Linked DNA regions of Coturnix japonica. The protein of the gene in region 1 interacts with the protein of each later gene in a pairwise test. Links are inferred from orthologs where the notes say so. Each region holds a gene or a part of one and is shown on either strand. Other genes may lie near its edges.

Region 1 (4,231 bases):
ACTGCTGTGCTGGGTGCTGGCAAACATCCCCATGCTCGGTCAGAAGAGAGCTCATGGCTGATGGGCTGCAGGCTCTCACCATGCAGTGCCAGCACCCTGCTCATAGCAGACCCTCAGTGCCATTGGCTCTCACTGCTTTTCCCAATGGGTACCCCGACACCATCACAGATTAATGCAATGGTTGGGTTGGATGGAACCATACAGGTCACCCAGCCCCCACCCCTGCCACAGGCTGGCTGCCCCCCAGCTCAAGCTGCCCAGGGCCCACCCATGGTCTTGGGCACCTCCAGGGATGGGGCACCACAGCTCTGGGCAGTGTGTTTTCAAGGCTCAGTCCGAGCTTTGGTCACCACCTGCAGGCTGCTGGGAGGGTGGGGGTGTGTTCAGTAGGAGGGCTCTGGGGATGCCCATCGGGTGCCCGCTGGGTGCCGAGCCGAAGCGCTGCTGCCCTGCATAACCTTCGCCTGCGGCCGTCCTTTAACCTCCGGTGCTGGTAACCCAAAACGAGATTGCTGGAAATGAGAGAGCAGAGGAGTCAGCTATCTGATTCCAGGCCACAGGCACATGCCTGGCCTTCGTGGATATATTAAGTAAGGGACATTTTAAAACAAAACCACCCGCAGTAACCTTATCGTGAGGCTGAAGCCGCAGCCCAGCTGCTAACTCCGAGCTGCCCACACGGGCTCTATCCGATGCTGCTGTTGGGATTTCACAGTGTTTTGCCCCAAATCACCATCTCCGAGCCCTCAGTACAACTTGAGCCCGAACTGCGAGCCCTTGGCTTCTGGGGGGTCTGTAGATAAGTGCAGATCACTGCTGGGCACTGTCTGCTCCTCTCCTGGGACAGCACCTCAGACCCGTGACTGCAGGAAATTTGGCCTCTTTGCTGCATTCTGTACGCCCTGTATGTATGCATTTCTGCGCAGAAATAATTCAGCAAACAAAATCTCGGAGACAAATTGCTGATTGCATCAGCCCCAGCTTATGAAAGCTGATCATAGGGAGGACAATGTAACCCAACTCTCCGCCATCCCACTTGCCGCCCAGGAATGCCATCGCTCCACTCGGATCCTCTTTTTAGGGGGACTCCAAAATCCTTGGCAACATCCCTTAAGGTCATGAGTAAACCCCGAGCCTCGGGACGGCTCGGAGAGAAGGGAGCAGCCAAAGGGCTCCGGCAGCGGGGATTACCGACGCGCCGCGGGAGTGTTGAAGAACGGGAGTCGGGTGCCGAGCTCCTGCCCCGCTCCGCTGCGGGACGGCGGGGCAGAGCCCGAGGGGCGGCCGGGAAGCAACCGGGGTCGGGGCCACCCGGGGCCACGGACCGGCCGCCCCGCCTCCACCCCCCCCCGGCACGTTGCACGGCGGAGCGGGCGGGGGGAGGAAGGCCGCCGCTCGCCGACACGTGAGCCTCATGTGACGGCGATGGAGGGAGGGAGGGAGCGGGGGGGGGAGCCCGGCCAGACGTGCCGGGAGTCACAGGGTAACGCACGTCGCCGCCGTCCACCCACTCGGCCGCATTTAACCCGGCCCTCCGCCTCCCTCCGCTCCTCAGCCGGCGAGGCGGGGACGCGGCATGAGCTGCCCGCGCTGAGCTCCGCACCGCACCGCACCGCTCCGCTCCTCCCGGCTCCCGCGGCACCGCTCCGCTCCGCGCCCCCATGGAGCGCATCCCCAGCGCGCAGCCCCCGCCCGTGTGCCTGGGCAAACTGCCCGCCCTGGAGAGCGCCGATGTGCCGGGGTAAGGCTGCGGGGGGGACAGGACGACACGAGAGCGTCCCCCCGCCGCGGCCCCGGGGACAGGGGTAACCTCGCTGCTTTCGTTTCGCCCGTGCAGGCTGGACTTCGCGCACATGTACCAAGTGTACAAGCCCAGGAGGGGGTTAAAGAGGAGCGAGGACAGCAAGGTAACGGGGTGGGCGGTGCGGGGCGGGGGTCAGCGATCGTTGGGATGGGGGGGAGTGAGAAAGAGAGCTGAGCTTCTGTGGGGTGATGCGGGAAGGGGGGAAGGGGCCTCCACTGGGTAATTCTGGGGGAAATAAAAAAGAAATGCTGCGGGGTGGGGGGCGGAGGGGGTGCGTGAGTATTTGGGTGGGGAGGGGGGGGGAAAGCAAAAGGAAAAGGAAAAAAGAACAGAGGGTGGAATGCGTGGTGGGTTTAGCGATTATTTGGGAAGGGGGAAAAAAAGGAAAGAAGGCAAAAAGACGGAGGGTGGGTGCGGAGCGCTGACCCGCCGCTCCTTACAGGATACCTACAAGCTGCCCCACAGGCTGATAGAGAAGAAGCGCCGCGACAGGATCAACGAGTGCATCGCCCAGCTCAAGGACCTGCTGCCCGAGCACCTCAAGCTGACGGTACGGGCACAACGGGGCTCCGGGCCCGGCCCTGCGTTGAGCGCGCGATGCCGGCGGGGGCAGCAGCGCCGAGGCACGGAGCTGTGCTCGGGGTTGGGCGTCCCCAAATACCCCCGGGATGTGGGGCCGGGGGCTGCCCCGCGGCTGCTCTCTGTGTGTTCCGTCCAAATTCCGGATATTTCTGTTCACAGGAAGCACGACTTGTGCCTTCCCCAATTAGCAGCGCTGCCCCCGAGTCCCTGCCCCAAATCGCCCCCACCTTTGCCGTGGGAATGTCTCCCAGCGCCTATTTCCACCCCCACCCCCGCAGCGTCCAACGCGTTGTGTGCTCTGCCCGCAGACCCTCGGTCACCTGGAGAAGGCGGTGGTGCTGGAGCTGACCCTGAAGCACCTGAAGGCGCTGACGGCGCTGACGGAGCAGCAGCAGCAGAAGATCCTGGCGCTGCAGAGCGGGCTGCAGGCAGGTGCGTGAGTGCAGCGTGCGGGGACACTGCGCGGGGAAGGGATGCCTGAGCCTCTGCCCTTTGATTGCCATCAGTTTCTCTCGCTTTGCTTGTGCAGAGCAAGTGCAGCTCTCCATGGGGTCGGAGCCAGGCGTGCTGTGCGGTCGCTTTCATTTTAAAGTGGATTTGAAGTAGTTTTATTTAAAGCGCAGCTTTGCTGTGATGCCCTCTCCAAAGTCGTTCAGCTCTCTCCATTCATGAGCTTTGGATCCTGGTTCTGCGCTTTCCTTTTCCCCCAGAGCACACAAACACCCGCTGTCCGTGTGCAGATCTGTGTTCCCTCATTCTGCAGGTGGACGGGGCTCAGCACAGTGGCTGCTCGCTCCCTCTGCTTCCTCCTGCTGCTTGCACACGTGGCATTCACATGGCTCTGATAAAGTCAAACTGAGCTTGGCCAACGAGGTGCCACTGCCCTGCAGGGACAGCACCAGGGGAGACCCATTGGCAGTGGGGGCACAGCGTGGCATTGAGGGGTCCTGCTGGGTGTGGGATGCACTGTCTGCTTGTTCCCCAGTGGAAGTGCCAAATGCAGAATTGAAAGATGAAGGGCACGGGTAGAAGTGAATGGAGGGATGTGAAAGTAGCAGGTTGGATTCTGGCGCATAAGTTGTGGGAACTCAGGTTGGCCACTGAGTTTGCTGTGCTGGCTGTGTTGTACCGGACGCGTGCTGTCAGCCTGGAGGTGGTGATGGAAGTATTTGGCGTGCTGTTAATTTTTAATTTCTCCCTGTTAATGTTTCCTCAGGTGACCTGTCCGCGAGGAACCTCGACTCCAGCCAGGAGATGTTCCGCTCTGGCTTCCAGCTGTGCGCCAAGGAGCTGCTGCAGTACGTGGCCAAGCACGACAACAAGGAGCTGAAGGCAGCGCAGCTGGTGGGGCACCTGCACCGCGTGGCGGCCGAGCTGCTGCCGGGCAGCCCCAAGGACCTGAAGGAGAAGACGGTGCCGGGGGGCAAAGCGGGCGAGGGGCGCGGGCAGAACTGTGTGCCCGTCATCCAAAGGACATTCGCTGCCTCCAGCGGGGAGCAGAGCGGCAGCGACACAGACACGGACAGCGGCTATGGGGGGGAGCTGGAGAAAAACGACTCCAAACCGGAGCAGCCCTATTTCCCAAAGGATACCGAACTGAAATACGCCGTCCAGGAGAGGATCAGCTCCATCAAGCAAGAGAGCGAGGACCCTCCGGCCAAGAGGAGCAGGCTGGAGGTGCCTGATGACGACAGCCCCTTTGGCAACGAGGTGATGGGCACTGCGGGCGGCTTCCTGCCCCCCCACGCCCACCAGCCCCCCTTGTGCCTGCCCTTCTACCTGATCCCACCATCCGCCACTGCCTACCTGCCCATGCTGGAGAAGTGCTGGTACCCGGCCTCCGTC
Region 2 (3,311 bases), on another chromosome or scaffold:
CAGTGGGTCCCACCTGGGTGCCAGCTCTACACAGCACACAGCCGTGGGATGGGGGCTGCCCTGTGGGTACAGCAATGGGGGGCACCCGGGGGGGCTCAGAAAGGGGGGGATGGGTCCCAACACACAGCGCCCACCAAGGGAGGGGCCACAACGCAGCCCCTGTCTGTGCCCAGCCACAGCTATGGGGACAGTGAGAAGGATGGGGGGGATGGGGACCCCAATGGAACCCCATTGTGTGTCTGTGGGGCGGGATGGGGACCCCAATACAACCCCATTGTGTGTCTGTGGGGTGGGATGGGGACCCCAATACAACCCCATTGTGTGTCTGTGGGGCAGGATGGGCACCCAACACAACCCCATCATGTGCCTGATCATCCTGCCCACCCCCATGGGGCGTTCCTTAACAGCCCCAACCCACAGGGAGCCCCCATGGGGAGGGGTTACCCCCCATCACCCCACACTCAGCCTCCCCCGATCCCCCCCCACCCCATTGCCGCCCCCCAACACACACACACAGCACGCAGTGTTTCCACACTCAATTCTTTTTCTCTATAAGTTGGGGGGGGACACAGCAGAACGAGCTGCAGTGGCTCAGCTTCCAAACACCAGACGGCTGCTGGGGGGGGTCTCACAGCCCAGGACCCCACTGGGGGGGCTCCCTGTGGGCTCAGTGTGGCAGCTCGTGGGGGATGAGTTTGTAGTGGGAGCCGCAGGACGGGCAGCGCTGCGCCTCCCCCTTGTGCAGCCAGAACCAGATGACGCAGCTGTTGTCCTCTTCACCTGAGGAGAGAGAACAGGGGGTGGGAGGGAGATAAAGTGGGGGGGGGAGATAAGGGGCCATATGGGGCCACATGGGGCCACTCACAGACGCAGCCCACGATGCGTTTATTGGTGATGGACGGCACAAGGTTGGGATCCTCCTTGGTGCCCGCGTAGCGCTTCGGCCGGAACATGCTCCAGGGGTCCTGGGGAGGGAGGGGTCAGAGGGAGGCCCACCCCAACAACGGCAGCCACATCCCATCCCATCCCCATCCCAACTCATCCCATAATACCCTCCATCCATCCCATAATACCCCCCATCCATCCCATAATATCCTCCCATCCATCCCATCCACCCCATAACATCCAATCCCATCCATCCCATAATATCCCATCCCATCCCATCCTATCCATCCCATCCCATCCCCATCCATCCCATAATATCCCATCCCATCCCATCCCATCCCATCCCATAATATCCCATCCCATCCCATAATATCCCATCCCATCCCATCCATCCCATCCCATAGTATCCCATAGTATCCCATAGTATCCCATAGTATCCCATTGTATCCCATAGTATCCCATAGTATCCCATTGTATCCCATAGTATCCCATCCCATATATCCCATCCATCCCATATACCCCATCCATCCATCCCATAATATCCCATCTATCCCATAATATCCCATCCCATACATCCCATCCCCATCTCCATCCCATCCCATATACCCCATATACCCCATATACCCCATATACCCCATATACCCCATATACCCCATATACCCCATATACCCCATACACTCACCAGTCCTTTATTCATCGCCTCCATCACTTTCCGCTCCAGTCCCGTCGCCTGCTCCTCATCCGTGGCCAGGTCACCTGCGGGGCAGACGCTCAGTGCCTCCATCCATCCATCCCATCCCATCCCATCCCCATCCCGTCCCGTCCTTACCGGGCGCTGCATAGTGCCGGCTGATCACGCTCCTCCCGGTGGCGGCGGGCAGAAGCCGCAGCGCCGCGCCCACCCGCAGTAACCTTGACGCCATGGCGGCACTCAGCACTTCCGGAGATGGAGGAGGAAGCGGAAGTTGCGAGCCGGAAGCGGAAGTTTAAAACCGGAAGGGCGGGGCCTCAAAGGGCGGGTTGGGGGGGGATGCGGCCCTTAGCAACGGGGGGATGGAGATACGGCCATAGCAACGGGGCCTGCACCAGCGGCCACGCCGGGCCCATAAGGCGGCGGTGCCAAACCCCGCTGATCCGAGCCGCATTAATGCGGCCCTTCGTTAATATTGCAGTACAGATCGATGGCTGCGGGGGGAGGGGGGTTAATTAATATGGGGGGGTTAATTAACTGCAGGGGGGGGATTAATGGACATAGGGTGAAATGGAGATTGATTTGGGGTGTGATGAGTGGGGATAGGGGGGAAAATGGGGGAAATAGGGGGAAAATGGGGGAAATGGAGCAGAAAATGGTAGAAAAATGGAGGAAAAGGGGCAGAAATGGTAGAAAAATGGAGGAAATAAAAGGAAATGGGGGAAAAGGGGCAAAATTGGGGGAAAATAGGGGGAAATGGGGGGAAATGGGGGAAAAGGGGCAGAAAATGGGGAAATATTGGATATAAGTGGGAAATATGGGGGTAAATGGAAAATACTGGGATATAAATGGGAAATATTGAATGTAAATGGGAAACATTGGGGTATAACTGAGATATCTTGGGGTATAGGTGAGAAATATGGGATATATATGGGATATAATGGGGTATAATGGGATATACTGGGATATAATGGGATATATGGGATATAATGGGATATAATGGGATATAATGGGATATAATGGGGTATAATGGGATATACTGGGATATAATGGGATATACTGGGGTATAAGTGGGAAATACGGGATATAAATGGGAAATATTGAATGTAAATGGGAAATGCTGGGTTATAAGTGGGAAATATTGGGATATAAATAGGAAATATTGGGATATAAATAGGAAATATTGGGGTATGAGAGGGAAATATTGGATGTAAATGGGAAATATTGGGATATAAGTGGGAAATATGGGGATATAAGTGAGAAAATGCTGAAGAAGAAGAAGAAATATGGGGGAAGGAGAGAGAATATGGAGGAAAAAGAGAAAATGAAGAGGAAAGAATAGGAAGTATTGGAAAAGAAGGGAAAATATGGGGGAAGAAGAGAAACTATTGGAGGGGAAGAGAAAGTTTGGAGAGGAAAAGAGGCAATTTAGGGGAAAAAGAGGAAAATATTGGGGAAGAAAAGGGAAAATATGGGAGGAGGAGAGGAAAATATGGGAGAAATAAAGGGGATGTGGAGGAGAAGAGAGGGAAGATGGAGGCAGCAATGTGGGCGCGTGCCAAGGGAGGAGGGCAGGGGGTGGTAAAGGGGGGGGGGCAGGGGCGGCCCCATATCCCCAATCAGCTGGAGCTGCCCCCGCTGCCCCCCGCCCGCCGCGGGCATGCAGGGCATGGAGCTGTGCGCCGTGGCCGTCGTCATCCTCCTCTTCATCGCCGTCCTGAAGCAGTTTGGCATC

Evidence for each region. The genes of interacting proteins can lie anywhere in the genome.
Region 2: the proteins of BHLHE40 (region 1) and cytochrome c oxidase subunit 5B, mitochondrial interact in binary tests that used the Homo sapiens proteins (3 or more experiments, as listed by UniProt). The two-hybrid records come from large-scale screens. The link is inferred for Coturnix japonica from reciprocal best matches to the Homo sapiens genes BHLHE40 and COX5B.

Annotation. Positions count from the first base shown.
Region 1 is NC_029527.1:15,937,533-15,941,763, forward strand, and holds the start of BHLHE40 (class E basic helix-loop-helix protein 40), read left to right. Parts: upstream 1-1,400; 5' UTR 1,401-1,661; coding exon 1,662-1,741; intron 1,742-1,837; coding exon 1,838-1,907; intron 1,908-2,246; coding exon 2,247-2,354; intron 2,355-2,694; coding exon 2,695-2,818; intron 2,819-3,602; coding exon 3,603-4,231. UniProt on the Homo sapiens protein: Transcriptional repressor involved in the regulation of the circadian rhythm by negatively regulating the activity of the clock genes and clock-controlled genes.
Region 2 is NC_029537.1:873,091-876,401, reverse strand, and holds cytochrome c oxidase subunit 5B, mitochondrial, read right to left. Parts: upstream 1,837-3,311; 5' UTR 1,809-1,836; coding exon 1,715-1,808; intron 1,642-1,714; coding exon 1,568-1,641; intron 966-1,567; coding exon 866-965; intron 781-865; coding exon 668-780; 3' UTR 527-667; downstream 1-526. Other genes in the region: calsenilin-like, read left to right, coding at 3,237-3,311. UniProt on the Homo sapiens protein: Component of the cytochrome c oxidase, the last enzyme in the mitochondrial electron transport chain which drives oxidative phosphorylation.